Linked DNA regions of Alligator mississippiensis. The protein of the gene in region 1 purifies or fractionates together with the protein of each later gene. This does not show direct contact. Links are inferred from orthologs where the notes say so. Each region holds a gene or a part of one and is shown on either strand. Other genes may lie near its edges.

Evidence for each region.
Region 2: the proteins of nuclear cap-binding protein subunit 2 (region 1) and KPNA3 purify together in Homo sapiens (co-immunoprecipitation; 3 studies listed by BioGRID and IntAct, with this or other methods). This does not show direct contact. The link is inferred for Alligator mississippiensis from reciprocal best matches to the Homo sapiens genes NCBP2 and KPNA3.
Region 3: the proteins of nuclear cap-binding protein subunit 2 (region 1) and KPNA1 purify together in Homo sapiens (affinity purification with mass spectrometry; 3 studies listed by BioGRID and IntAct, with this or other methods). This does not show direct contact. The link is inferred for Alligator mississippiensis from reciprocal best matches to the Homo sapiens genes NCBP2 and KPNA1.
Region 4: the proteins of nuclear cap-binding protein subunit 2 (region 1) and KPNA2 purify together in Homo sapiens (affinity purification with mass spectrometry; 4 studies listed by BioGRID and IntAct, with this or other methods). This does not show direct contact. The link is inferred for Alligator mississippiensis from reciprocal best matches to the Homo sapiens genes NCBP2 and KPNA2.

The regions. Positions count from the first base shown.
Region 1 is NC_081831.1:83,089,434-83,096,744, reverse strand, and holds nuclear cap-binding protein subunit 2, read right to left. Parts: upstream 3,014-7,311; 5' UTR 2,964-3,013; coding exon 2,877-2,963; intron 2,765-2,876; coding exon 2,583-2,764; intron 1,918-2,582; coding exon 1,779-1,917; intron 1,023-1,778; coding exon 924-1,022; 3' UTR 266-923; downstream 1-265. Other genes in the region: TEX11 (testis-expressed protein 11), read left to right, coding at 3,347-3,380, 5,452-5,573. UniProt on the Homo sapiens protein: Component of the cap-binding complex (CBC), which binds co-transcriptionally to the 5' cap of pre-mRNAs and is involved in various processes such as pre-mRNA splicing, translation regulation, nonsense-mediated mRNA decay, RNA-mediated gene silencing (RNAi) by microRNAs (miRNAs) and mRNA export.
Region 2 is NC_081824.1:414,741,477-414,748,920, reverse strand, and holds the start of KPNA3 (importin subunit alpha-4), read left to right. Parts: upstream 1-4,427; 5' UTR 4,428-4,500; coding exon 4,501-4,581; intron 4,582-5,105; exon of another isoform or gene 5,106-5,448; intron 5,449-7,155; exon of another isoform or gene 7,156-7,244; intron 7,245-7,444. UniProt on the Homo sapiens protein: Functions in nuclear protein import as an adapter protein for nuclear receptor KPNB1. Binds specifically and directly to substrates containing either a simple or bipartite NLS motif.
Region 3 is NC_081824.1:238,043,162-238,050,029, forward strand, and holds the start of KPNA1 (importin subunit alpha-5), read left to right. Parts: upstream 1-3,850; 5' UTR 3,851-3,960; intron 3,961-6,868. UniProt on the Homo sapiens protein: Functions in nuclear protein import as an adapter protein for nuclear receptor KPNB1. Binds specifically and directly to substrates containing either a simple or bipartite NLS motif.
Region 4 is NC_081831.1:6,287,647-6,294,710, forward strand, and holds the start of KPNA2 (importin subunit alpha-1), read left to right. Parts: upstream 1-4,052; 5' UTR 4,053-4,136; intron 4,137-4,262; 5' UTR 4,263-4,309; coding exon 4,310-4,384; intron 4,385-4,541; coding exon 4,542-4,679; intron 4,680-5,363; coding exon 5,364-5,452; intron 5,453-6,357; coding exon 6,358-6,626; intron 6,627-7,064.

The DNA.
Region 1 (7,311 bases):
CTGGGAATGGGCAAGCAGTGGGAAGTAAAGGAACCATGGTGAATTAAGTCACAGTAGTAAGTTATCCACACTCACCTGGATGGGAGCACGGGAGCACTAGTTTGCTGATTTCCATCTTGTTTCAACCAGGAATAAACACGAGAAGAAAAGTGACACCCACACCAAGGGGAAGCTCAGACAAATGCAGGCATCCATCCCTTAGCATGCAGGATGTGCCCCCCAGGCCCGTCACAGGTAAACAGCACCAGAGCACAGACTGCAGAGACAGGATTATACGTTTATTTAAAAAACCCAAAAGACACTTAACAAAAACCACACAGTAACTGGGAGACTGTGCCCCACCTAGGCAGTGCCAAGGGCACGGCGAGGACAGGGACTCTGCAGGTCTGACTGAGCCCAGGGATAGAAGTGCAGGCACCACTTGCACTGGCCAGTACAGTCTGATTATGCTTCTCCAACCCAAGCCAGCAACAGTGCTTTAAAACAGCAGGAGACAATGTAAACGGTAGACTTGAAACTCCTGCCTGTGCCTGGGCAGGTGAGACAGCTTTGATGGCTGATGAGTTCTCAAAGCTTGAACTTGAGGGAAACAACAGTGGCTGGAAGAACAGCTTGGAGGCAGCCAGCTGTGCCAGAGAGAGCAAGAGGAGTGAGTTGCTGCCAGGGTCTGGGTGCCATGCTGCACTTGTCCTTAAAGAGAATCCTGCAGAGCTGGCCACGCTGTTCCCTTGCTGCCCTGCATTAGCAGGGAACAGCCTCTCTATCCCAAAGGGAAGGGGAATGAGCAAATGTAGACAGCCAGTCTAAGGAGGATCACTTCGTCCTGGAACCTGGACCTTGCTCCCCATCCCAGTCCAAAGGGCAAGGACAGGGCTATCTATGGAGGACCAGTGCCCTTCTCTGTGCTAGGACAAATGAGGCACTTAGTAGATCATAGTCTGCTGATTCGCCTTTTGCATCTGGATGATCTTGCCAAAGCCACCTCTCCCCACGTCATAATCCGTCCGGTACTCATCTCGCACCTGGGGGCAGAGCAAGAGGAGGCATTAACACCCTCCACCTACTTACATGTCACAACGCTTTTAGGAGCCAGCTTCCTCTCCACCTCACCCCAGCAGTTGGTGGGCTGAAAGCCAGGGTGCAAGTTCATGTTTTTCAACTCGCTTGATAACACCCCATCACAACAGGGACAGGACAAGTGTGGGGCTGTTTTGAATGTCAAAGCAATACAAAACAGTCCAAACACTGTTCAGTTTGGCTTTGCAGTCTGGCTTGACGGATTGTCAAGGTTGAACCCTCTGAAATCTGGGAATGAATCTCATCTTCCCACTGGCGCATCCCGTCTGACAAGACTGCCCTTGCAACCACACAACAAAAACACGGGGCTGGCAAGACCTTCAGGGGGTCACATCTAGGGCAAGCCCCTTGCTTGAGGTAGAGTCATCTGTGTCAACCATCCCAGACTAGCACTTGTCTTTCCCGAGCACCGTTTCTTCCTCCCTGCTTGTTTCCTCCATCAATCTGACAGCATCTCATTGACAGCAGAGCAACATTCACTTTGCGCCCTCAGGAGCCGGGAACCCAGCTCTTCAGCAGCAGCAACTGTCAATCACTTACTCCAGTCCAGCATCAGGTACTAAACCAGTTTGACCGGCTTTAGTTCAGTTATTGGGTCTACGCTGCATTACTCTTGCTTTGTGTTGGCTCAGTCACGGTGAGCAGCACCCAGCTGAGCCCCGGGGAGCCATGTTCTAGACTGACGTTGGTCTGTTGCTTACCTGTCCTCCCGTCTTTCCTCTCCCGTACTGCCGGCCCTCCTTAAACCCTGCGTCCCAGTCTGTCCGGATAATGCGGTCATCCAGACGGGTGCCATTAATAAATCTCATTGCATGTTCAGCTTCCACTCTTGTGTAATATCTGGAATAACTTATAAGGAAAATACAAGGTGCTGTTCTGCTGGGTAGGGAGGTAGAAAGAGAGAGTAATTTTATATGGCATGGAGGAACCCTGACTTTCAACTCAAGACCCAAACGCTAACTGGCTCCAGTCCCCTCCCAGCGCAGCGCGAGGCCGCGCTCGTGCGTCTCAGCTCTGGCACAGCGAAAGCAACAGCGAGGGGTCCCTCGCTTCAGGGAGAGGCCGGGCGCTGCCCCCAGGGCGCTACACGTGCCCCTTTCCGGGACAGCGCGTGCTGAATTTGTACGCAGGACTTCAAGCTGCATCAGCCCCGCTTCGAGCCTCGTTTGTAGGAGACGCCTCGTTTAGCTGCCCGTGCGCGGCCGCTGAAGATGCTACTGCGCGGGTCGGTCGGTGATCGCACGCACTGCGATGCGCGCCGTGCATGGGCACCGCCACGACAGCCGCCCACCGGGCCGGCACAGCGCGGGGGACACCCCCGCCCGGAGCAACGCACCGACCGCACGGTCCCTCCGCCGGCCAGACACCACGCGCGCCAGCACGAGCAGCGGTCCCACCCGGCCTGGCCCCGTCCCACACGCGGAAAGGGCTGAGACCCGGCGAGGGGCAGCAAAGAAGCCCCTGGAAGAGGGCACCGCGCCGCGCAGGCAGCGGCTGCAGGATACTCCACGAAGCAGAAGCCGCACGGCGTCTTCTTGATCTTGTCCAGACCCATGACGATGCGCTTGACGTCGCCGCACTTGGAGAAGAGCTCCTGGATCTGCTCCTCCGTGGTGTAGAAGGACAGGTTCCCCACGTACAGCGTCGACGACGCCTTCAGCGACTTCTCCTGCAGGTACCGGCTCCCCTGGGGGCACAGCGGGCGTCAGCGCGGGGGGGCCGGCTACCCCCATCCCCTCCCCCACAGCCCGCCGCACCCCAACCCCCTCCCCAGCCCTGCCCCACGTCCCCCGGCGCACCCGGAAGTGCTGGTCGCGGTACTGGCTGATGTCGCAGTAGGAGTCGCTGCTGAGGCCGCCCAGCGAGGTGCCCAGCAGCCCCGACATGGCGCCGCAGCACGCGCCGGCTCCTCCCGCCCTTCTAGCCCCGGCGCAGCGCCGCCGGAACCGCCCCTCCCCCGCTCGCCCGCGCGCCCACCCCATTGGGCCCAGCGCCCGCCACTCCGCAAGGAGAGGCGGGGCGGCGCCCCCATTGGAGGAGGGCCCTGCCCGCCAGCCAATCGCCGCGTGGGGCTGGCCTCCGCCGCGCCGGAAGTGCGCGTGCGCGGCCGCGGGGGGCGCTGGGAGCTGTAGTTTCGCGCCAGGCGCGAAAGCCAGGCGCGTGTCCCGGCATACCTCGCGCGCCCAGGCGCTGAGGTGCGAGGAGCGGGGTGTGAGGCGCAGGCGCTGCCTCGTGCTTGGGGCAGGCCCGAGCAGCCTGGCGCTGCGGCATGGCGGGCGCCCCCAGCCTCCCCGCCCTGCAAGGTAGCGCCTCCCTCCCCTGCCCGCCGAGGGTTTGCAGCCTGGTGTGGCGGGGTGAGGGGCCCTGCTTGCTGGGGGCGGCCTGGTTCACTGCAGGCCCTGCGCACCCCGCTTCTCCACCTCACCCCCCTTCGCCAGCCTCCGTCTCCCAGTGCAATGCAGTGCAGCGCCGCCCGGCTTCCCGCCTCCGAGAAGAGCAAGAGCTCCCCCGAGAAACCCTCCCGCGCCGTCTCTGCTCCCACGGCGCTCCGGTGCCACCGCAGCGCCGTGCTGCAGGACAGCCTCGAGTTCGAGACGAGCGCCCGGGAGAGTCGCCCGGGAGACGAGCAATGGGGCGCTCGTTACAGCCGATACGAAAAGCTGTGTCTGGTGTAGACGGGAGGCCGGCAGGGTTTTCCAGTGTCACAGTGGCGTGCGTCTGCCTCCCTGGCGTCGGGGCTGCGTGCTGCGCCGGGCGCGGTGGCGTCCCGAGAGCAGGCTCTGACAGAGCCGGCAGCCTCCTGGGCAGACACGCAGCACGTCCGGGGGTGCAGCGGCGACTGCCGGGCAGTCTGGCTGTTCAGTGGTGCCGAGCTGCTTTGCCTTGGAGCCGGGCCGCCAGGAACAGGCTGAGTCGTCAGGGGAGATGTGCCGTGAAGCGGGACGCCTCCGGCTGCCGGGGCCCCGCCCCGGGTGAAATACTTCTGGCCCTAAACCAAAAGCTTAGCGACCAGTGCGTAACGTTCGACGTGAAGGCCGTGTCTCGCCCTGTACCCGGTTGAGCTGAGCGCACGGCTGCAGAGGAAATAGCAACCTGTATTTGTTTTAGTTTTGGAGTCTAAAATAGGTACTTGATAACTTGTTCCCGATCAAGGAAAAGGGCACGCTCTGTTACGTAACTTACAATTAAAAGTAATGCGTGATTAGTTCTGGCGTGCTAGGATTACAGGAAAGGAAATGTGGTCGACAGATTCATTTTTGTTAGGACAATATGTAATAAGGTAACTTGTGAAACTCGCAGTGGCTGCAGAGCCTTGTGTGTTCCTGAGTTCATCAGTTAAGAGACTTGGACAAAACTTGTTTTGCCTTTTCACGTTATTGTTTTTGATGTCTTTGGAAGTTAAAACTATTCTCTCTTGCCAGAGATTACAGGGAGCTTTCCGTCGACTTGAGTAAAACAAACATTATAGTGACTGGGGCAGAGGTGCGGGAGGGATTCGTTTTGCTCCTGGACCAGAGTCAGGGTTTTTGTTAGCAAGGTACTGGGCTCTCATGTCTGTACCGTGTAGTGCTGCTACTGGCTGCCCAACTGGGGGTAGATATTTAAGCTAGCACGTGAAAAACTATGGAATTGGAGACAAGGGAGGGCAAAAAGGTTTTATATGGTTTTATTTGGTCCCCTAAACTGCTCTGAGGAGTAGTTTCCAGCTGCCGTTGTAAGGGATTTACCCACTAAAGCAACCTCATTCCTTCCACATTCTGAGAGTGGTTAAGAGAGCACCTGATCAAGTCCGACTTTTTCCTTTTAAGCCAAGGGCAGGGATTTAAAGATTTAGCAGTTTTCTCTCTTTTTATAAAGATGCATGGGGGTTTTAGGATTCTAGAATCGGTGGTGGCAGGTTGTTCTATGATCCTCAAAGGAAGCGCTGGCGTTGGCTTACCAGTATCAAAGATCCTGAATACAGGTTGTGTACATTATACTTTCAGAGGGCCCAAGAATAAAAGTTGTTTAGGAGGGAACAAAAGACTTGGGGGAAGCAGACATTTTATTCACAGATAAGATGTGCCACATTCTGCACTCTTTACTTATGTTTAGTTCCTTTGACAAATGTAGATTTCACTGCCGCAGTTTAGCAGAATATAGCCTTATGCCTTAACTAAAATAAATTTTCTTTAGAATAGAGTTGTTTCTCAGGAGTTACTTTGTTCAGCTTCTCTTGGTCTCCTTGTTTGTGCTTTTTTATTAGCCAGGAAAATATGAAGAAAATGTAAACCAATGGGTTTTGCTTGTACAGACTTGTTCAGAGATGATGTGCTACTCATAACATTTGTATGGTGCTCACTCCGTTTCTGCCTCATGCACCTTATTTTTCAGAGCTTGTTCAAGAGCTGCTGAAGAGAGACGCCCCATCCAACGTTCCTGAGATCATTGACAAACTATTCTCTGAAATAGAAAATGTGGATAAGAAGGCAGAGGACGAGATTCAGGAGGCTGAGGTAGAAGGCCAGGGACTGTTGGATCCCAAAGCTGGATATTTAAAAACAGTCTGTTCTTACAGCCAAGGTGGAGGCAAGCAGTATCTACTGCAGTTTGAATGCTCATTGGCTGGTGCAGATAATGAGTTGTCATAGTACTGAGAATCTATAAAAGCACTTACATTTTTGCATGTTTTACTTATGTTTTGTATAACTATAGAGCATACACTATAACATTTCTACTTCTCCATTAGCACATTTGAAGAAAGTAGAGGTGTTTCTAAAAAAAAAAAAATGTAAATATTAGAATAGTAAACATTAGCAACTGGCAAGTGGGGGATTCCACCTGTCCTTCAAAATGATATGTATTAATGTTTTTGAATTCTGAGGCAAAATATCCTTATTTAAATGTCAACACTACTGACATGAATGAGATGCTGTGACTTTTTACTTTTGAATCTAACAATGCAAAAAGACTAAAAAAAGCACAATAGTAAAATAAATGTAGAAAAGAATAATGAAGATGTTAAAATTGTAAATACAAACACTCCAAAATCGCAATATAAAAACACTGAAGTTTTCTTAGTAAAAATCTTTCCCGTGCTTCACATTGATTAGTGATTACTAGTCATAATTTTAAATGTCCACCTAAATGATAAACTGTAGATGCATTGTAAATGAGTTAATACTTTTGGAGTCTTGGCTTTTTGATTGCTTATAGTTCATACCTAATCAAAATAGAAGAGATAATTGTGTAAAAGCTTATAAATTTAGTTCTTGGTTTTTCCCCTCCTCCAAAATCCTAGTTAAGGATGATTTACAAATAAAGTTGCAAACTTCTCCCATTTTTAAATATCCCTGTCAAAATCTTGCTTGGAAATGTTAGCAGACAAAGATTTTGTGAACTACTTCATTGGAAGTTCTCAAGAAATTGGATAAGCATCAGATATACATGATTTAGGAGTAGTGTTCATGCCAGGGGTTGGATCTAGAGGGCGATCCTCTCAACCCCCTCCAGCCCTATTACGCAATGATGGATGTAAGGGAGGTGAAGGCATCTTGGTTGTTTCCAGCTGCAGTCCTGTTCCCTCTTATAACATGCTACCTTTTGGATGCCTGTTACCTAACTAAGCTGCTAGTGAAACTTTTACTTCAGAAATATTTTATATAAATATATTTTTCCTAAAATAGGAAAAATAGGTTAGGTTCATAGATTTTTATAATCCAAAGCCAGAAGGAACCGTTATTATCCCCCATGTAACCTGACCTCCTGCATAACATGAGCCATACAATTTTACCCAGCTATTGTATCGAGGCCATAACTCCTGGTTGTGCTAAACCATGTTTTAAGGAAAATGCCCAGTCTCGATTTTAAGACTCAAAATGATGGAAATCCAACACATCTCCTGGTATGCTGTTCCAAGGGGTTTTTTTTACTTTGGAATTTGCACCATGCTTCAAGTCTGAATTTGTCTAGGCTCAGTTTTTAGCTGTTGTCTCTTGTCTTAGCTTTGCCTGCTAGATCAGGGGTTGGAAATGTTTTCTGGTGGGGGACTGGAATGACTTGGCTCAGATCTTAGGTGTGTGAGCTTTAGGACCAGACCGCCTCTGCCACTTCTTCCTGCCAGCCAACTGTGGCACAGCACAGGGAGAGCCCCTACTGCCAAATGAGACCTGGCCTGCAGGCTACAGGCTGCTGATCCCTGTGCTAGGTTAAAAGAATCCTGTACTGTTGGAAAACTTCCATGGAGGAACTTGC
Region 2 (7,444 bases), on another chromosome or scaffold:
AATGTGGCATCTCATAACATGGCTGGGATTGCTCCGAGCCGTGTCATTCATGCCCACGTGGATAAAGGAGCATAGGGTAGTGGTTGTTGGGCTGGATGAGTTTAGGGATCCTCTTGGCCATGTCCTGGACACGGGTTCCCAGGAAGCAGCAGACCTCCTGGGCTAAGGGGGTGGGGCGACAGATTGCACCCTCAGTCACCCTCAGGAGGGAGTCTCCCACAACCACCACTCTACGAGTGGCCTTAGGGAGAGCAGGAATGGTAGTTGTGGGTGAGCCTGCATTGCCAGCAGCAGCTGGCAGCTCTGCAGGCTCTACTGGGGCTGCAAGAGATTTGTACCTGTTGCAAAACTCCAGAGGGGAGGGGACCTTGGTGCAGCGGGCCTTGGGGCCGCTGACCACCTTGGTCCAACCCCCTGGCCGGACTGTGTGGGAGATCCCTGAGTCCTCCCTTGTCCTGGAAGGTGACCTTGGTCTACCCTCTGCCTCCAGGGAGTGAAGGACCTGGCAGTAGGAGTCTATCTCCTGCTTGCCATCCCTGATGGCACGTAGTCTCTGGACTGTGGCCTGGAGCTCCTCAATCTGGTGCCCCAGAGACTACAAAGTGGAGCAAACCCTGCAAGAGGAGGTGGTCATGGTCCTGGTCCCACGTGCCTGGCAATGTGCCAGGCAACCAAGAGCCAGAGGCTCTGTCTGCATGGAGCCCAGAACTGTGGGTTCCATCTGGGTGAAGGCCTCTGAGGTGCCAGAGGGAGAGGCTGCAGATTCCAAGGGGACCCTTGGGGTGTGGCGTGTGCCCATCCACGTTGTGCCGCTGGTAATCTGGCTACTGATGGCACTAGCTTCCCTAGGACTCACTAGCAGGGCCTCGGGCCCTCCCGCTCACCATCCTGAGTGAACTCCCACGCTAAGCCATGCGCCGGGCCCAGAAGCACGCCTATTTGTGTGTCCTGTTTGTGTGGCTCCCTGGGGGGCTGGGCCAAATAGGAGCCAGGACAGGGCAAGACCCTCTTTGGCTCCTCTCAGCTGCCTCGCCGCAGCTGAGCTACCCTAGTCCCCTCCCACCACAGGCCCCACTTACCTCCGGCTGTGCTGGGGGTCATCGGGGTGCTCTGTGGCTGTTGGAGGTTGCTGGGGGGCTTCAGGGTGTGGGGGCGTGGCAGGCATGCACCCATGCATCTCGTGCCACTCTGAGCCAACATCTTGTTAAGAGTTTGGCCTGTCTATTTAATTGAGGACCCATACCTTCCTTTGTTTTTCTCTTCTGGCCTAATTTCTAATATAATAAAAGCCTTAGACCCTCTGTCCATCTGTCTGTCTGTCCGTCCAGAATACTCTGGCCCAACTGTGCATACGCTGCCAAGAGGGCGGGTGGGATGGGTTGTGCTCAGGCTGGGCTGAGTAATGGGGCAGTTGGAGCCCAGTGGTTCCTCCAGGGGTGAGGACAGGCGGCTTCTGCAGCTGCGTGCACCACGGGGGAACCAGGGCACATTCTCCCTCACTTTGGCTCCCTGGTGCCATGGCCCTGGACCACCCACTGGGCTTTGATTGCCCCATGCCCTGGCCCAGCCGGGGCCCTGTTCACAGTGAATGTGGCCCCACCTGGGCCGGGTCATGGGACAATTGGAGCCTGGCAGCTCCTCCAGAGGCATGACACCAAGGAGCGGAGCAGGGGGGCACATTGTCCCCTGTCTGTGCACAGGGCAAGGGTGGGCTTTGCTTCTGCTTCCTGCCTTGCTACTACTTCGACAGTGGTGCGGCACCATGGCCTGCTACACAGCGGGACTCGCATGGTGCTGTACCGCGCCGCTGTCAAAGCAGCGGCAGCGAGGCAGGGAGCAGAGGTAGATCCTGCCCCTACCCTATGCACAGACTGGGGGCCCCCAGCTTCCCAGCACCACACCTCTGGAGGAGCTGCTGGGGTCCGCTTGTCCCACAAACCGGGGGGCCCCAGTCACTGTGAAAGGGGCACCGGCATGGCTGGGTCGTGGGGTAATCCCCACAGTGCAGGAGGGAGTGGGGCAGGAGCAAGTAATTTGCCCCTGCCCCACTCCCTCCTGCACTTTGTCTCCCTCTCTGCCCTCCCAAGCCCAGACAGGCGGAGCGGGGTGGAGCAGGGCCAGAGCCAGAGTGGTGGTGGGGAGCAAGGGTGTGGCGGGGGGAGTGGGGTGGAGCTCAGAGTGGTGAAGTGGGGGGCATGGTGGGGGCAGTGGGTCTGGGCCTGGGCCTGGTGTGACAGGAAGGTGGGGCGGAGCTGGACACGGGGCTCCATCCCCGCCCACCTGCCCCCCACGGTCATTCTTTACGGGGAATTTGCTAGTATTTTTATAATGTCTTTTTGTTGCCCTTAACTTGCTTTACCAGGTGAAGTTTATTTTTTACTCTTGCCTTCCTGATTTTGTCCCTGCAAATTCTATTTCCTGGTATGCTTTCTTGGTAATCAGCCCATTTCTCCATTGCCTGTATGCTTTCCTTTTGCTTTTGAAGCATCTTAGAAGCTCCCTGTGCAGCCAGATTGCTCTCTTGCCATTCTTCTCATGCTTCTGTCATGTTGGAACAGCTTCTTGTTGACCTTCCAATACTCTTTAGAAGCTTCCAGCTGTCCTGGGTGCCTTTATCCTTTAGTCTGTCCTTCCATGACATGATGAGTACCATCTCCTTAAGTCACTTGAAAGCTGCCTTTATGAAATACAGTGTCCTAGTTCTGCTGATCTTACACTTTCCCAGTGTTAGGATCATAAATTCTATCATATTGTGATCTTTTTCTCGCCTTTGCATCCTCCACCAATTCTTCCCTATTAGTCAGGACAAAATCCAAGATAGATGATCTCCTAATTGTACCCTCAACTTTCTGGAAAAGAATGCTGTTCTCCACACAAGGTAGAAACTTGCTTGACTTTTTATGTTTGGCTATATGATTCTTCCAGTAGGTGTCTGGAATATCAAAGTCTCCCATCAAGACAATCTCATAACTGAGATAAATTTTGTCACTTTCTTGAAGTGTCTCATCCACACTTTCATCCTTTGTAGTCTATGATAAACCCTCACCATTTTATTGGTGCTGTATTTTTCACCTTTTATTTTCACCCACATATATTCTGACCTTCTTTCTGAACTGGAGAACAAATATGTATTTTTGACATACAAAGCAAATGCCACCTTTTCTCCCAATCCTGTCTTTCCAAAAAGAGAGTGTAGCTCTCACTGCTGAAATTCCAGTCATGGAAGCTGTCCCACCAAGTCTCTGTGATATCGTAGGAACATAAGAACTGACATGTATTGGGTCAGATCATAGGTCCATCTTCCCAGTATTATCCTGTGTCACACAGAGGCAGAGATTGGATGCTGAGAGGGAGAACAAATGGGTTTTTTTTTCACTGTTCATCTCTCACTTGCACCCTCCAGCATAGGTGACCACTTGTGAATCATGCCATTTTTTTACTTTGGCCTCTAAAGTCCATCTTGGAGGCACCAATATTGAAATCGCCACCCTTGGGAACAGAAGTGGATCCAGATGGTGCACTTGCACCCCCTTTGATTCCTGCTTCACCTTTAGTTTACAACCACCTGTTTGGCAGTACCAGCAGCATTTCTAGACTCTTCATCCACGTGTTAGCGACCCACTCTTCTTTTTCATGGGCTTGATGTTCCACCAGTCAAGCTAACCTCTGCTCTGCCATGCTGCTGTCTGCTTGTGGGAACGAGCTCTCTCACAGCCCTGCAGGTTTAACTCTCTTTGTTATTGTGTTGCTTCAATCTAACAGAATGACACAGCCCCAGGCCCCTATCCCTGAAACTTCAGGTTTATTTTTAACTAGAAGGGTGGTTGTTGCTTTATAGGTGATGATCCACCACGCTGCGGGCACCCCGTTTCCAGCGCCTGCATCCGCCCAGGCTTGGGAGCAACTCAGTTCTCGCAGGGGAACAGCTTGATAGACCAGGAGGAAACTAAGCAGCTGTGCAAGGCCTAGGCCCTAGCCCCGGACCCGGTGCAAGCCGAACTGGGAACTACGGGCCAAAGCCTACCCGGCTCACAAGGGGCCTGTTCCCGTGAAGCGAGAGCGGAGGGAGACAGAGGAGGAACCTAGGCCAAGCTGCACCCCGCGGAGGCGCTTGCAGGGACCACGGGGGGCCGTATGGTAACAGCCCGAGGCCGGAGCACCCCTTCCCCTCCCTATTAGCAGCGCAGCGAAGCCGCCGCGCGAGCAACTGCCGCTTGACGCTGGGCCTCGCAGCCCCCGGAGGCGGGACGGCAGGGCATGCTGGGTCTTGTGGTCCGCAGCCGCCGCAACGGCTTCGGCTCCGCGCCAGCGCGCGCAGCTGCGTCCGGGCGTCGTCACGTGCCTGGGGCCGCGCGCCCCGTCACTCAGCAACGGCGCTGCCCCCCCCAACGGCGCGCCCCGCCCCTCCCCGCGGCTCGTCACGGAACGTCCGTGCCCCGCCCCCCGCGAACCGCCGCCGGAGCCGCCTCGCAGGAGCTGGGAGCCGCCGCCGCCGCCGCCATGGCCGAGAACGCTGCCGCCGCCGCGGGCCTGGAGAACCACCGCATCAAGAGCTTCAAGAACAAGGGCCGCGACGTGGAGGTGAGCGCCGGGCCCTGCGCGCCGCGCCCCCCCAGCCGGCTCCCGCGGCCCGGCCCGGCGGGGAGGGGCCGCCAGAAAAATGCCTCCGGGTTTTAATTCCCCGTCACGCGGGCGGGGCACGGGGGCGGATCCTTCCCCCCTCACGCCGCCGGGCGCGGGGTGCGGGCAGGGCCCCCCATCCCCTCCCCTCCCCTCCCCAGCGCTGCCGGCCGGGCTGGGCCCTGTGGCCGCCGCTGTCGCCTCCCTCATCGGTGGTTCCGGGCGCTGGAGGCGGCGCTCGCGGGCCCCGGAGGCGGCGCTGAGCGCGCGCCCACCCAGCACCTCCCCCCCAGCCGCGGGGGCAGGCCGTGCCTGGGCCGCTAAAGGGGGTTGGATCCCGGCGGGGTGTGGGGGCTGCGGTAGGCCTCTGCGTGGCACCCGGCTGCCTTCCCCGACTCGTGTTGTTGGCCGAGCAGGTGGTGGGGAGCCTCTGTTGTCTTCCAGCTGAGATCAGGGGAGGGGAGATAAAGAGTGAGAGTCAACCTGCCGGAGAGAAAGGGGTGCGGAGCCTCGCTCTGACAGCTTTGCGCTCACCCGTGGGCGGCCGGCTCAGTCCAAAACGGGCTCTGAAGCAGCATCCCCCTCCCCCCAGCTCCTATGGGCTGGGGCAGAATTCGCACTTTAGCTGCTATTGTTTGGGTGGAGGCCAGTCTGTGCAGGCCTAGCTCAGCAGTAGCCTGCCTTTGTACAGATGACATTCACAATGGAAACTAATCTCTATCTCCGTGTATATGGCACTTGCTGGGGGTGAATCTGTGGGAAATAATGCTTTCTGCAAGGTGGATGCACTTGTGAAGGGACGGTTGTGTGCCTGGCAGTCCAGCAGTGGTAACTAAATTATTGTTATCTTTTTTTTTTCTTTTTTTTTTTAAGGGCCCCACCCTTAGATTAAGTAGCTGGCTTCATTACTGGTTCTTGCCTGCTTCTCGCCCTGTGAAATCGTTCATCCTCCTTTCCCGTCTCCCTATATTGAGAATATTGATTTTGCTTCATTGTTTCTGCGGAAATCAGGATCTTCATTTTCTGTCTCCCCAGCAGCTGGCCGAGCTGGTTAGAGAACTAAGTGGGGGCAGGCTGATATTCTCACTTGGTATGTCTTGCCATCTAGGCTTCCTGATATGTGGGCTTGTTTGAAGCTGGTGGCTAGTGAGCTCAGAAAAGGATGTTTCTGTTTACAAAGGGGAAACTGCCATAGCTGTCTCAAGAGAATTATTCAGCTTTAGTTGTGCTGGTGTACCTCCCTTGTGTGGCTGCTGTTCTCAAGTAGTTAATCTGCATTAATTGCTCTTATTATGGTTATTCTGTGGTCAGTTTTCCTGAATAGACTAGCCCTGAAGCTTCCCAGCTCAGTGGGTCACAATACTTAGCCCTGGTGGAGTGTAAAAGGTTCTGTACTAGAGCTAAAAGGTGATAAGGGAGAAAGCTTGTTCAGCATTAATTTCTGTACCCCCAATTTTTATTATTCTCTAAAGAAGTAAGGTAGTACTTAAAAAGCTTTAAAGTCACAGAAGAAATTAGATATTCGGTATAAAGGTTATGAATGCTTTACATTAAATTTAGTCGGTTTAAAAAACAAACAAACAATTTAAGCAGAACTCTTAAGAATCAGAATGTGGCTTGTGTTAAATATTTGGTGATTTTCAATATTTCTTGTCTGTTGACTTCCTGATTGACTTCCTGTTTAGCATGGAGGTCATTCCTGAAACTGGTGGTAAAAGTACCCTCATCAGTAGCTTTGCTTTAACCAGTTGTTATACCAGTGTATCTACTAGGATTATTTTAAAAGACTTGATGAGTTTACTATTGGGCAGGAGTATTTGCCCCCAATGGGGCACTAGGCTGGATCTGGACTGCAGGGCTCCTTGTGGGTTGGATCCAACCTGGGGCAGGAGGGCTGCCTCAGTAGCCACCATGGTGCAGGGCGGGCACTGCAGGTCTGGTGGGGGCTGGAGGAACACTGGAGTCTGGTGGCAGCAAGCCAAGCTTACTACTGATTGCCATGCCCAGCAGGGCCAAAGGGTCCAACTGTGCAGTCTGGTGGGCAGGATAGGGAGACTGTAGGCCAAATATGGCCTGCTGGCTCAATGATTGACACCCCTGCTCTAGGGAATACCACATGTGTTGAACTGTTCTTTTGAACAAGAGGTGCTGACTTGCAGGTTTGTTGCAGTGTAAAATGAATTGTATGCCAGGCAAAGCATTTACATCCTGTGATATGGCTATGGACCTGGTAACTAGTATAATTGAGTAACAGCTGTAAGGATGGCATCTTAAAGTCTAACTCTTTAATTCTAAAGTAGATAGATTGCAGTCCATTTCATTCAGCTGTGTGGTGCCATCATTGACTATAGGAGAGGTAGTTAACTTTGTTAGTCTAAGATCAGGAAGGGTAGGGGGCACAAGTTAGTCTTTAACTTGTTGCACTCTCTCTCTCCTAGTTGAGAATTGCTTGCTTTGAGCCTTTTGCCACAGTGAAGGTGCTTTTTATATAATATAGGAAATTCTTCCAAAATTATTGCCTTTACGTTTGTAGATAACTTTTTTAAACAAAAGAGGAACTCTAGAAACCAGGAGGAATACCACTGATCATTTGGGATGTTCAAGTGAGCTGAGATCTTTGTAAGGTAACGTTCGTAGAAAAATGAACTATTCTGGATGTTGGACTTGTATGTGCTGATTTATCTACCTTACAGTATTGCTTTTTTTAGGACATCTTAACTGTTAAATGCCTTATTTCCAAAAGAGGTTCACTGATATATCGGTTGTGTATCAGATTAGCACTGATTAAAAGGAAAATGAATGTTATTGGCTTTTTTTAGCCAAT
Region 3 (6,868 bases), on another chromosome or scaffold:
GAGCAAGGGACCTTGAGGAGATCACGGCCCTCCGCGAGGACCCCGCCGTGACAGTCCCTCTCCATGTTGTCTGCATCCCTCCTGAAGTGCGGTTCCCAGAACTGGATGCAGCACTCCAACTGCAGCCTGACCAGTGTCGCATAGAGGGGGAGGATCACCTCCTTGGACCTGCTTGAGATGAATTTGTGGATGCATGACAAGGTATGGTTGGCCTTCCTGACCGCATCCCCACACTGTCGGCCCATGTTCATATTGGCCTCAATAATGACGCCAAAATCCTTCTCTGCCTCTGCACTGATGAGAAGGGAGTTCCCCAGCATATAGGTCTGCTGCTAGTTCTTCCTCCCCAGGTGCAGCACCTTGCACTTGTCAGTGTTGAAACCCATCCTGTTCTCATCTGCCCACCCCTGTAGCCTGTCCAGATCCAATTGCAGCCTATTCCTTCTAGCGTGCCCACTTCTCTCCACATCTTAGTGTCATCTGCAAATTTGAACAGGGTGCTTTTTACCCCTTTGTCCAAGTCGCTGATGAAGATGTTGAATAGTGCGGGCCTGAGGACTGAGCCCTGCAGAACGCCACTGCCCACATCCCTCCAGGTCGAATAAGATGTCTGGAAAACTGCAGCCTCCAGCAGATGTCTGGAAAACTGAAGCCTCCCATCAGTACCATACCATAGCTTTTGGATAGATTTATCACCCCCTTGAAGAGTGCCTCATTCATCTTCTCTTCCTGATTTGGGAGCTTGTAATAAATCCCCATCATTATATCAGTGCTGCATCTTTCACCTTTCATGTTCATCCAAACGCATGCTACTTTTCTGTCTTGTTCCCCCTAACCAGGGCACAGGGTAGTAAGCCTACCCGGTCACAAAGCACCAAAAGAACAAAGGAAAAAGCTAAACTTACTGCAGTGGTGAGCCCGAATGGGAGAAAAGTCATGCTGGAATTCCCAGATGGTAATTAAAGCAATCAGCTGTGACAGCCAGCAAAGCAGTGAATGGGACACTGAAGCTGAATACACAGCTGATCAGTGCGGGAATTTAAAAGAGAGCCGACTGAGCAGTCAGCTCTCCTCGGGTGAAGGGAATGGCATGGAGGGAGACCCGTGGGACCACAAAGTGACAATGGTGGCATGCAACCAACCTAAGGGACTCAGGAGAGTATTTTGAAGAAGTACTTGCCCACGGAGCAGGAAGGATGAGGTCGTTGGAGCATCCAAACCAGTGAGTCTGAGTCCGGTGGGTGTGGGACTGCAATCCAGAGACATGAAGGAGGGGAAAGAAGAGACCGAGCGTGAACATGAGTTTGGGGCATTGGCCCAATATAATCGTGTCCTGAAGGATAAGGGTAGGGACAAGCTGTATGATGGTCTGCTTGGGACCCGTGTGGGAAATAATGGGGCAAGCAACCAAGAACAAGAAACCGGCTGCCTAGAAATCAGTCAAGGCAACCCAGAGACTGAGGCTCCCACAGAGGGGACCTAATGAGATTACTGCTGAAACATTTGGTGTGGTAAGGACAGGGGATGGGAATAGGGGAGCCCTGTGAAGAGGAGCCAGTCTTCTAAATTGTAGATTTAACACCAACTTTGTCTCACAGGACTGTGTCCATCTTTGGTTCCTTCCTTTTCCATCTAAGTTGTGGCAGGTGAGTTTAAAGGAGACTATCCAGTCCAACAAGAGGCTACAATTTTACTTTGGTGGCAATTGCAAACCTCAATGTGATATTCCAGTCATAAGAGCTGTCCTATCGGGTCTCTATGATACCGATCAGGTTATATTTCTTTCACAGGCTACAGCTTCCAGATCATCTTCTTTATTTCCCACACTTCCTGCATGTGTGTACATGTATTTTGCATTTTGATGTACTTGCTTCTTTTTTGCACCACTTGTTGCTGTCCCTTGGCTCTCTGGCACCTTTCCCAGAGTTGAATTGCTTATTCCAGTCTTTTCCCCTCTGGATCGTTTGCTCTATTACTGGAAGATTTTGATCACCACCCCCATAATTAATTTGAAGCCATCCTTACTAGGTTGGCCAGACAATGCCCAAGATGCTCTTTCCCGTTCTGGTCAGTCAGACCCCATCACTTGATAGCAGTTCTCCTCCCCAGAACATCCATCCATTGTTAAAAAATCTGAAGCCTTCATGCCAACACCACCATCTCACCACACATTTATTTCCATGGTGGTCCCTTCCTGGGCCTTTCCAGGGAGTATCAATGAAAACATCACTTGTGCTCAGTCTCATGCCAGGAGCCTCAGGAATCTTTAAAGGACACTGCTCACTGTTGCTCCTGGCAGTGTTGTTGGTATCTACAAGGACAGGCAGGAAAGGGTTGTGGTCTAAAGGATAGATGAGCTTTGGTAGTCTCTCTGTGACATCCTGAATTCAGAGGCAGACACACATTTCTCAGGACCCCAAATGTAGTCAAGCTGGTGCCTCTGTCTGCTGCAGCAGGGAGTTGACAAACGCCACTCTTCTCTTCCTTCTTGGAGCAACGGCTGTAGAGCCCCCTGTCCCTGGGGCCCTGTAGTTCCTGCTCTGTAGACTGCTGAGTCCTCTGGGTTGTACTTTTTCTCCTTTCCTTGCCTCTGCCTTTTCCTTAGCTTTTCCCCCTGCTGTTCTAGGATGTCAGGGGAGGGGGATTTCACAAAGAACAGTGTCAAAAAACACTGATTCATCTGGGTGGACTTTTTAAAAAGGTATTTGTAGGATAGAGTTTACAATACTTGAGAAATTAAAAAAAGTGTCATGTTGGGCCTAACTTAACTATGTCACACTTACCCCACACCTCTTTTGTACACATGGGCACCTCCCTTTCATGGTGCAGTCCTGTAGCGCTATGGTTCCAGACTGAGTTAAACCATGTTGGTGTTGCTTCCTTGTGCAGCGCTCTCAGAAACACTTCATGGCAGAGGACAGAAGCCCTCGTGCTGCAGGCAACTGGTGCCCCTGAGGCAAAGGCAAATGCAAGGTGCACGTTTTTGCCAAGGATTTTGTGAAGGTCCTTTGCAAAACATCCTCCCCCTTGGAAGGACTGCAGCCCCTCTCCCCTCCTCCAGAGGAGCCGCACAGCTTCAGGCAGGCACTGTGACCCGCCGTGCAGCCAGTGGATGCGACGCAGTCCAGGCTGTTGAGAGAGGACGCCATACGCTATGATGTCAGTTGCCCCTGCCAAAGACAGGCGTGAGGGCAGTGTTGTCAGGTCTTAAATATGAAATTATCGCATTGGAAGTTCACAATGATCACATTTGCTGCAAAACTATCGTACACTGAACAAATATGCAAATAAGTATACAAATACTTGTGAAGGAGTGGGAACTGGATCATCAAAGTTGATGCATTCCTTTGAGGCAAGACATCATAAGAAAGTGCTGACGGCAAGCCGCAAAGTCAGCTACAAGTCCCCAAGAACAATTTGGGTTTCGCATCTCTTGCATAAATGAGATGCCTCAAAAATTATCGTTCAGCCCCAGAACTTTTCGTGTAAATACGGTAATTCTCGCACCCCCCCCCCCCCGGTGACGAGGGGCGCAGGTAGCAGTTCTGGCTCAGCGGCCCCGCCCCCGCCGCTAGACCCCGGGTCAGGGCCGGGCGGTCAATGACGCCGCCGCGCATGCGCGGGAGCCCTGAGTCGCCAAGGCCTGGCGCTGGAAAACGGGTTGGAGAGGAGAACGGCGTGTTGCGCTGCACTCTGGGAGATGTAGTCCCGTGGGCTCGCCCGGCCGTAGTAGGTATGGAGTCTGTGGCTACTAGGGTCTCGCCTATTCCGCCCCACCCTCCCCGGCCGGAAGTGGGCCCCGTGTCCCAGCGGGCTGCGCGCCGGCGCCGGAAGCTACGCGCCGAAGGTCGGCGCATGCGCGTAGAGGTCCCAGCCAGCTCCGGGCAGGCAGGAGCCGTGCCCGCGCGCTCGGGCCCGACACGACACGCGGCGGGGCCGGGCCGGGCTGACGGGCCGCAGGTAGCGGGGGGCGGGACGGGGCTGCCCGTGTTGGCAGAGCTCGGCCGGGCGGGGCGGACGCCGGGGCCGCCCGGGGTTGGAGGCGGCCAGGCCGGGGCGGCCCCGGGCGGGAGGGGGCCGGCGTAGGCACACACCCTTGGTAAGCGGGCTCCTGCCCCGGGTTGGAGGTCGCTACGTTCAGTGAGTTGCTGGTGGCCCGGCTGCCCCCCGGCTCGGGAGTGCTGCTGTGACTTGGGGCTACTGTTTCTGCAGGCAGAGGGGGCAGAAGGATTGGGGCTCTCCTGTCCTCATGCTGTCCAGCCTCACCTCTTGCTCTTGGTGACAGCTGTGGCAGTAAGGGTGTGTCTGCAGCAGCCCCGGGTGTGACTACTGCTCATGTAAACATACCAATGCAGGCTTTAAGCTGCCAGCAGGGATCCATCTCCTATTTACCTAACTTTGTGGGTAGATTTTGCATCTGCATTGAACTCTGCGCTGTCAGGGTTGCACTGTTTTTTGGCATGTGAGGTGGCTAGCTTAAAGCCAGTACAGATACAGCTACATGAGCTGCAGTCATATCTTTGACTAGTGGTGCTCAGCTTTTTCCCTTGGTGGGCCAGATGGGCCTTACTTGGTCTGTTCATGGGCAGGTGTGGTGTGGCTCCATCCAGCTGCACAGAGGGGGCCAGGAAACAGCCCTGCCCAATCCAGTCCTGTGGGGGCATGTAAGGACAGTGAGGAAGGGGTTACGACCTGCCCCCAACCCAGCTGCAAAAGATAGGAGCAGTAGGTGTGTCCCAACCCCAATTCAGCCGGGGTGGGGCATGACCCAACCCTGACTCAGGTGGGTGGGCGAGGTAGGGAGTGTGGCCCAGACCCAACCCTGAGGTGGGGAGAAGGAGGCATGGCGCACCCCAGATTTGGCTGTGTTGAGGGAAGGGGCCATGGAAATTTGGCAGCGGGGGGGGGGGGGTGGCCATTTCTGTTTCACCACTAAATTTCTGTATCCATGGGGAGCTCTGTGGGCCAAATGTGATGGCTCTGCAAGGCCACATTTGGCCTGTGGTTCAGAGGTTGAGCACCACTGGTGTAGGCAGATCCTTAAAATTGTGGCATAAAAATTGGGAGGGTGGCTGGATGGGTTGCATCACCGAGGAAACCTTGAGAATAGGGTTCTTATCAACAGCTGATTTCTGTTGCCATAAATTTTCATGTAGGTGCAGTTACAACTTTGCTTTCTGGTAGAATGCAGCCACCCCTGGGAATTAGAGACTATCTGCTTTTGGTTTATTGAGGTCTCCCTCCATTTGTTTAAAAACATTCTGTTGTATCACATCTTGGCTGCTGCTGCATGTGACATGGCTTTTTCCTTTTTAACAATCAGAGTGCTATATACTGGTGCATTTGCTACAAATCTCGTAAATATGCTGATGGGAACCCTGGGTCTTATATACTGAGCTCAGTGTTGTATTTCTCTTGGATAACCAATTCACTTAGAAAGGAAAAAAATATATAATTAATGCTACATTACAGGAAAAGAGCTTGATTTACTCCCAATAAAGTAGGTTTGGGTTTTCTTGTTACAGGTTCTTCAACAGTTGCTGAAACATTCTTAACGAGGGATCTTTAAGCTTAAAACATGTATTTAGTTGCCTTGTCTGATTTTTTCAAAGGGAATAGTGTCATAAGTTCAGCGCTGCTGTGCAACCCGCTTTTTCTGCTCAGTCAGCTGAACCTAGTAGAATAATATGCTTTATTTGAGGCTGCTGTTCTGTAGTTGTAGGGCTTGTGTTGATTTCCTTTTAACTGTTTGTGGCTTTTTTCCATGAGAGTGTGGAATGTTTTTCAACAGTTGTTGTTCTGGAGGGACAAATGACAGATTGACTTGAAGTATGCTTACGTGTGCAGAAGGAAAACATTTCCCTTTTTAATTCAGGGAAGTATGGCCATATAGCAAGGTGCATGAAGTCATTCCAAATAAACCACTGTCTCTTTCAAAATGGAAAATAAGTGAAGAAAGGAGTGTATAATAGGTCAGTGAAATATAGGGATTAGAAGAACTAAAAAGGGATGGAAAAAGCAAAGAGTATATATGCTTTCAAGTGTATCAGATACAAAATTGAAGGTTCAGGAGAATCTTTTTAGGTGTTCTGGGAGTTGAGGGAGCAATTGAGAGTAAAATCTATCTAGAGAAAAGCTAGATGGCTGCTTTCTTCTTTACAGCAGCAGATACTGGGGAAATACTAGTTTCATACTTCATCTGTTTATTAATAAACAGATAAATAAGTCAGATATTGAGATGCGCTAACAAGAGGTGTTAGAATGCATCATGGAGCAGCAAGTCAGCAGGAGCAGATAGTATAGATCCAGAAGTTCTGAGGGAACTTGTGGATTGCTCTGCTAATAGAAGTGTGCAGTCTTCCATTAAAAGTTATTACTAGCATTGGGAGAATTGGAAAGAAATACGTGTACTTATTTTAAGAGAATCCTGGGGATCATCCTGGGAACTGTAGATGAGTCATTGGTATAACTTCTGAGTAGATAAGTCAAAATAGTAATCGACTGTAACAGCTACTTAAGTCCTTAATATGAAAGCAAATCAGAATAGCTTTTGTAAAGGAAAGTTATCTATCTGGTCAAATGTAGCCTTTCAAGTCAGTGTGACAAAGGGGCTAGATGATGTGGATTCTAGCCTGTAGTTTTGGTGGGGAGCACTTTGCGGAGGTTCAGTGTAGGCAGCCTTTACTAGGTCAGGGCAGCACGTTGGGAGGAGCCCTGATTAGCTTGCATCTGGTGCAGTGGAAGGGCTTAGGTGGCAGGGGAGGTGGAGGGAAGCTACTGTGTTGCCCACAGGACAGTGGTGCGGTGGGGGTTGGTGCTGCTAACATGACAGCAACTCGGGGCAAAGGGGAGTTTGCATTGCCCAACC
Region 4 (7,064 bases), about 77 Mb from region 1:
AATGCCAGGTGTGATAGGGAAGATCCCGTGGGCTGGGTGCCAAAACACATCTTTCCAGCCAGAGGAAGACAAACCATGTGGAGCCCTCCATCAAAAAGCCAGGCGCAGCACTGGGGCTGGCCCTTTGTTTCAGGCTAAGTGGCTTAGTGAGGATGATCGCTGTTCCAATTAATCAATGCATGTGGTCGCTCCGGTGCTCCTGCCACATGGCTCTGTAGCGAGGCACTGCTCAAGCCCAAGCACATGTGGGAGGGTGCTGCGGTCTTAGGGCTGGGTTTTGCCCTCAGTGGGAAATCTTGAAATAAAACAAAGTTTTCAGACATCTCTTTGTGGCTCATTGCTATGGCCAACATGGAAATGTTCTTCCTTTTAAATGAGTTGTATATCACGGATATCGCTCGTGTTTGAATGATTGTATCTGTGAAATTAAGGATTTCAACAGAATCTCCCTGGATGCAAAGTGTCTTGTTTTTTTAAAGCAGCTGAGCATGGTTTTTTGGGTGTGTTTTTTTATTATCACCATATTTAAGTTGTTTAAACTTCTCTACTAGTAAAGAAATGATCTGGCTTAGAGTCCAAAAGCGCGAGAGAAGAAAGCGCGAGAGAAGAAAGCGCAGGCTAGGTTGCATAGACGGCTGGAGGGAGGGTAGGGTGCGGTGCTGTGAATTATAACAAAGTTTCTTTTTTGTACGTGATTTATATCCGAGTCTCAGCGGATTGTATGTGGGGTCCTTAAAGAAAACTGTATACAGTCATAACCCCCGGCTGTGTAACACCCCAGCCCATGCTCCTATGTAGCCGCGTTGGGATGTTTCCCCGCAATTTCACTCCCTTTGGGGTATCCGTCGTAATGGCGGAGGAATGGTGGTACCTTTGTGCTGAGCAACAGGCCTACAAAAAGACGCTGCGTTTGTCCTGGGATAACCATTTTTATACCGGCACAAAGTACAATCGTTCACGTGCCCGTGTCTTGTCCTGGCATAATTCCTTTAAAAAAAACCATGAATCGTTATCTTCGGTGACTCAATGGCAGAAACGCAGCGGTGTGTCCGGCTGCTCCCTGACCCTGGCTCGACGCGCCTCGCGTGCGCGTACCAGTGCCTCCCGGTCCCGCTGGCGAGCGAACACTTGTGCAGCGTGCCCGGGGACAGATGTGGCACCTGCTCCCAGCCCGGCTGGATGATGACAATGTCTTTCCCATCTAGTAAAGCCTGACTAGCAGTAGCAAAAGCCCTGGGAGAGGACCGGGGGGAGACGTTTAAAGGGACTAAAGCCCTGATAAGCGGGGTTGTTCCCTGCTCCCACCAGAGCAACAAGCCCCCCCTGCACCGCCGTAGTTTGCACATCGCTGCCCATTGTTCAGCCCTCGGCAGCTCCCAGGCCCTTCCCCCGGGGCCAAGGGCGGCCCAGGCGCGGTTAAAAGCGTCTGCCGGCAAGGAGGAGGCCGCCGGGCCGCCGCAAAAACGTGTTTGCGGTACGACCCAGATGGGACTCGAACCCACAATCCCCAGCTCCGGAGGCTGATGCCTTATCCATTAGGCCACTGGGTCACCCGGCGAGAGCGGCGCGCGGCGCGTTCTAAGGGCCCCGCCCGCGCGCTCGCCCCGCCCCCGCCCCGGCCGCTCTCGCCACGAGGCCGCGCCCCGGAGTGGGCGGGGCCTAGCCTCCCTGCTCTGCGCTGCCGGCCGCGCGGGCGCGGGCGCGGGGCCGTGCACGGCGCTGCGCATGGGGCCGGGGTCTGAGTTTCCCCTGGAGGCTGCAGTGCGTCCGTTTGGGGCGAAATGCAAGCTGGGTGATGTCCTTCCAGGAAATGGGCTGTGGACAAGCAGGTGGGACCAGCTTCAGCCTCAACCACCTGCACTCTGCCCCTTGTCTGCCACCGGCTCTTCGGTGCTGCTGCCTGCACAGGAATGAGGAGTTGAAGAAACAAACCGCCTGCTCTGGCCTGAGATCAAGTGATCCCAACTGCGCGAGCCCCTCTGGAGGACTTGGGGACGGCACCGCCTCCCTGGGACGCGACTCCAGACTGCAAATAGCAATTCTTCCTTATGTCCAGCCCGAAACCAGCTCTGGCAGTCTAGGGCCGTTGCTCCTTGTCGTCCCCTGCAGACAGGTGGCTTTGTCTGCTTCCCTCTCGGCTACCCAGCCTCACATCACCCCTTTTTATTTTAAGACTTTTAAGAACTTTAAGAATCAGAACAAACTTTATTTTAAGGCTCAGAATAAACTACGTACAAAATAAGCCCCGTCTCAGAGTGAATAAATCAAGCCTTCTGACCCTTTCCTATTGTCTTTGCTTGCAGTGTCATTTCCCAGGGGCTTCTGGTCATCCACCTGTAAGCGACCCTGGGTTTTGGATCTGCACGGTCAAAACGCTCTAATTTAATCGATGCCTGTCGTTCTGGGTGAGATCTGGACAGCTGGGTTGTATTGCACAGGCTCCTGCTTGCTTGACTCCAGCCAGCTGTGTTGGGAAAAGTGTGCTCTGGATTCTGATCTTTTTTTGTTAATTCATAGAGACACGGGTTGTAGGGGCTGGAAGGGACCTTGGAAGATCATCGGGTCCAGCCCCCTGCACTAGGCAGGAAAGACAAGTGGGGTCACTGGCAACATGGAAGGGGTGCACGTGGGTGCACGTGCACCCCCTGGAAGTGCCAGCTGCAGAACCCGAAGTGCATTCCTGTTTCACCGCTGGCTCGGCAATTGGCCGCTGGGAGACCTCCGTCCCCCATTGGCAATCTGGTGCCCCCCAGACTCAGGAGGCACCAGTCACCCATGGTCAAGTGACCCCAGCAAGGCGACTGTCCAGTCTCCTCTTGAAGATGTCCAGCCTTTCCTCGTATGGCTTGCTGTGCCAGTCTCCGATCACACGAGTGGCTCTTCTCTGGACTCTCTCAAGCTTTGCCACGTCCTTGTTGAAGTGCAGTGCCCAGACCGGACGTGGTATCCAGCTGCGGTCTCACCAGTGCCAAGTAGAGCAGGGAAATCACATCTTTGGTTTTGCTGGAGATGCATGGGAAGCACTGAGGCTTTGCAGTGGAGAAGGCAGGTGCTGATTGTCTTGCAGCGTGTGAGACTCCTCTTCCAGGAGCTCTGCCAGGTGGCTGACAGCGTCGTTGTTGCTCAGTAACAATCCGGTTTCGATTGAGCTTTTGGAAAGCAGGGTGCCGCGTAACATCTCAGTGCCGCTGGCTTTCTTGGTCCTCGTCCCGCAGGGCCCAGAAAGGTTTCGCATATAAGGACTGCTGGGGTTGGTGTATTCTGCAGGTGCGATCAGGCAGCCCTGATGTTATTAGTGGTTTGGGATCCTGCGGATTAACAAGTGTTGTTGCTCCATCTCTGGGCCCGGCAGCGAGTATTTTTGTTGTCGTGCAGCGGTCGGGAGCCACCGTTCGGGTCTCATCCTCACTTCATCTACTCGAAATGGCCTCAGTCAGATCTGGAGGGGGGCCACACCACCCAGCCAGGAGTGGAAGCTGGTGCAGGACGCGGCAGCCTTCATGGGCCTGAATAATCCCTGCTCGTCACGGGCAGCGCTGTTCCCGTAGCTCAGCGCCCTAAAAGGCCGCTCAAGTCTTTGACATACAAAAAACTAGAACTCTTAGATCCAAAATGATCCCTTTCATTAGACCAAGTGGAAAATGGCAAGAAAATTGTCCTTGCACACTTTGGCTGCATGAGCTTCTTCCCTGCTTTCTGCTCGCTCTAAACCCGAGCTGTGTACAGTTGGGGGTGGACCCATGGGGGAAGACTACACCTCCCAGCATGCCTTGCTCCCCCTCCCCCTCCCCCTCCCCCGCGGGCAGAGTGAAGCACGGGCGAGGCCTGCCGGGAGTCGTAGTCTCCTTGACCCTCTGTCCCGCACTGCACGCCGGGAGATGCAGTCCTCGGGGGTTGTGACGCGACCGAGGGAGAGGGTCTCGCGAGAGCTCCGCTTGCCTCGCGAGGCGAGCTGGTTTTTTCAAACCGGCCAATGAGGAGGCTGCTGTGGCTCGAACGGACCAATAGCGGAGCGGGGCAGCGGGAAATTTAAATCCCGCCGGGGGCGGGGCCGCGGCGGAGGGGCGGGGTCGGCGGCAACGTGCTCGGCGGGTCAGTGCGGCGGCGGCCAGCGCGCGGAGCGGAGGTGTGCTGAGGTGCGGTGCGGGCCGGGGCCGGGGCCGGGGCCGGGGCCGGGGCCGGGGCCGGGGCCGGGGCCGGGGCCGGGGGGAGCGGGGGGATCCTGCGGCTCTCCCTTGTTCTCACCCCCGGCTTCCTTCCAGGTCTGCCTCTTGCATCCGTGCTGCCTGCGACGCCCCGACCGGCCCAGATGTCCGCCAACGAGAACGCCGCCGCGGCCGCGGCCCGGCTGAACCGCTTCAAGAACAAGGGCAAGGACACGACGGTGAGCGCCGGCCCGGCCTGGAGGCGTCGCTGGGTTTCGGGGTCTTTTTTTTGTCGTCGTTGTTGTTTTTTAATGTTTTGTTTTTTTTAAAGCGCCGCTTTGCACTTTAAAAATTAAAAAAAAACCAAAAAACGTGACAATTTCCTTTTCCTCTCAGGAAATGCGGCGGCGGCGTATCGAAGTCAACGTGGAGCTGAGGAAAGCCAAGAAAGACGACCAGATGCTTAAAAGGAGAAACGTCAGCACTTTACCGGACGACGCCACTTCTCCTCTGCAGGAAAACAGGGGCAATCAGGTACCGGCAGTGGCGTCGTAGGCGTCGGGGCTGGAAGGGACCTGGGGAGACGGGCGAGTCCGGCCCCCGCCCCAGGGGCAGGAAGTCAGCCAGGGTCACGGGGTCCCAGCAAGATGAGGGTCCAAAAGTGTTCCTCTGATTGCAAGAGGTTACGGCTTATTGCAGACTAGGGCTGGTTTCCCCCTTGGCGCTGAAAGTCCCGCGTGTACAGCGACTCCTTGCTGAACGCGGTCGCGTTCTTGATAAACGCGACGGTCGATCCGATTACGCTGGCAGCCAAACGATGGTATAACCGAGCGACTTTGAACGAGCGTGTTTTCTAATAGATCGTCAGCGTAGTAACGAGACTGCGTCAACCGGGGCGAGGTTAAGTGAGGCGTACCTGTACTCGGGAAGAGCACGCACCAACTGCAGGGCCATCCTCAGCCTGCCGAAGGGTTTTTAAACCCGAAAGCTTCCTAAAAAAGATGTTTTCCAACTATTTAAGTTGGTCAAATAAAGGATATCGGATTCGCCCAAAGAGCCTTGAGTACCTGTACAGCACCGTACTTACACCTGGTGCCTTACGCTTGGTGATGTCAAAAGCACAACGCCATAGATCCTTGCCAAAGCAGAGAGAAACTTCTTATGAAGTTTCTGCTTCTCCTAACGTAGTTCTTAAACCTGTTTCTGTCCCATGGACAGGTCTGTGCACACTGGTCTGTTGAAGAAATAGTCAAAGGAATTAGCAGTAACAACATAGAACTGCAGTTGCAGGCTACTCAGGCCGCAAGGTAAGCGACTTGGTGTAAGTGTCATTTGGTGACTGGGGATAAGGAACAGGGTTTAACTCCGCAGAGCACAAGCACCAAACATAAAGCTGAGATTTTGGCAGGCTAATATTGGGCAAATGTTGCTAATAGTAAATAAATAATGCTGTGTTATCTGGCCTCAGGTAAGTAAATGAGTTCTCTGGGCTATGGTCAGTATTCAAGGGACTGAGCGTAAATGGAATTACACAAGCGCTGGTGCTCTCTGACTGTTTAGAGGTGTCCTCTGAGCATGAGACTTCACCTGGCACTTGAGCTGTACTTTTCCTTCTGTCTCATGGTGTTAAGGGTGATGTGGATGTTGGAAGTGTCAGATTTTTTTATCCTCGGCTCTATAGAGGTGGCGGGTATTGCGATTTATTTGTAAGGCTGGAATATGAGATGCTAGTACTGAGGAGCATTCCCTCAGCTTAATGTATGAAAGTGGAGGTGAAAGAGGGAGGCTTTCACCCTAGAGTGTTGGTTCCAAATACAGCATAATAGTTGAAGTTTGAAAAGTCCTGCACAATGAGGTAGGAGGATGATTACCTGAGATGGTAGTGCAGCTTCTGGCAGTTATTGCCATTTACTTCAAGCAGTTCCAAGTGCATTATTACTTTTCCACAACCAAGTAGCTTGGCTTAATTTCAGATTTTGGTTTTTTTTTTAACAAACAGTTTCAATACAAAGCTGGATCTGTCAAAAGCAGTCTTTAAACCACTTAATGTAGTGTTCAGCTAGTCTTTATTGAACTTCTTTGGATGTTTGCCACTGTTGGAAGAATATCTTTTTAAAGTAAAACTTGGGTCTTCTGCTGACTAAATTGGAATCTACTGTTCAGGTTGTAGTAGACCAAAAAAATTAACTCCCTGTGTTTGTTTCTGTCTTAGGAAACTGCTGTCCAGAGAGAAACAGCCCCCCATAGACAACATAATTCGGGCTGGCTTGATCCCCAAGTTTGTCTCCTTTTTAGGGAGAGCAGACTGTAGCCCTATTCAGTTTGAATCTGCTTGGGCACTTACTAACATTGCTTCTGGCACGTCGGAGCAAACAAAGGCTGTGGTAGATGGTGGAGCCATACCAGCTTTTATCTCCCTGTTGGCTTCTCCTCATACTCACATCAGTGAACAGGCTGTGTGGGCTTTAGGAAACATAGCAGGTATGTCAGTGTGCTGCACTTACATCATTTTCAGGCCAATTAATTTATGAGGGAAAGTCACTGGGGGCCAGAGTTTCAAAATTGTTCATGTCTTCCCTGCCTAATATGGAGAACTCTTCCAAAAATCTGAACCTGGGTGTCTAGCAAAAGAAGCCTGGAACACAAACCTGGAGCGGGTCAGCTACAGCTGCTTGTCTTGCTTTGGCTAGCAGTTGTATCTACTATGACTTCAAGCAAGACTTGGTAATCTATAGGGTGTTGCTATTTGACAGGACTCTTCTATCTTAGTGCTGTCTGATCTTTAAAGTCTTCTGAGGAAATTCTGCTTAATCCTGAAACTGAAATCTGTGAGAGAGGGGGGCCTTTTGGGAGGAGATAACATATTACTTTGTGAATGCTAGGTCATCAAAGGAGCACACTAGCAAACCACGTCACACT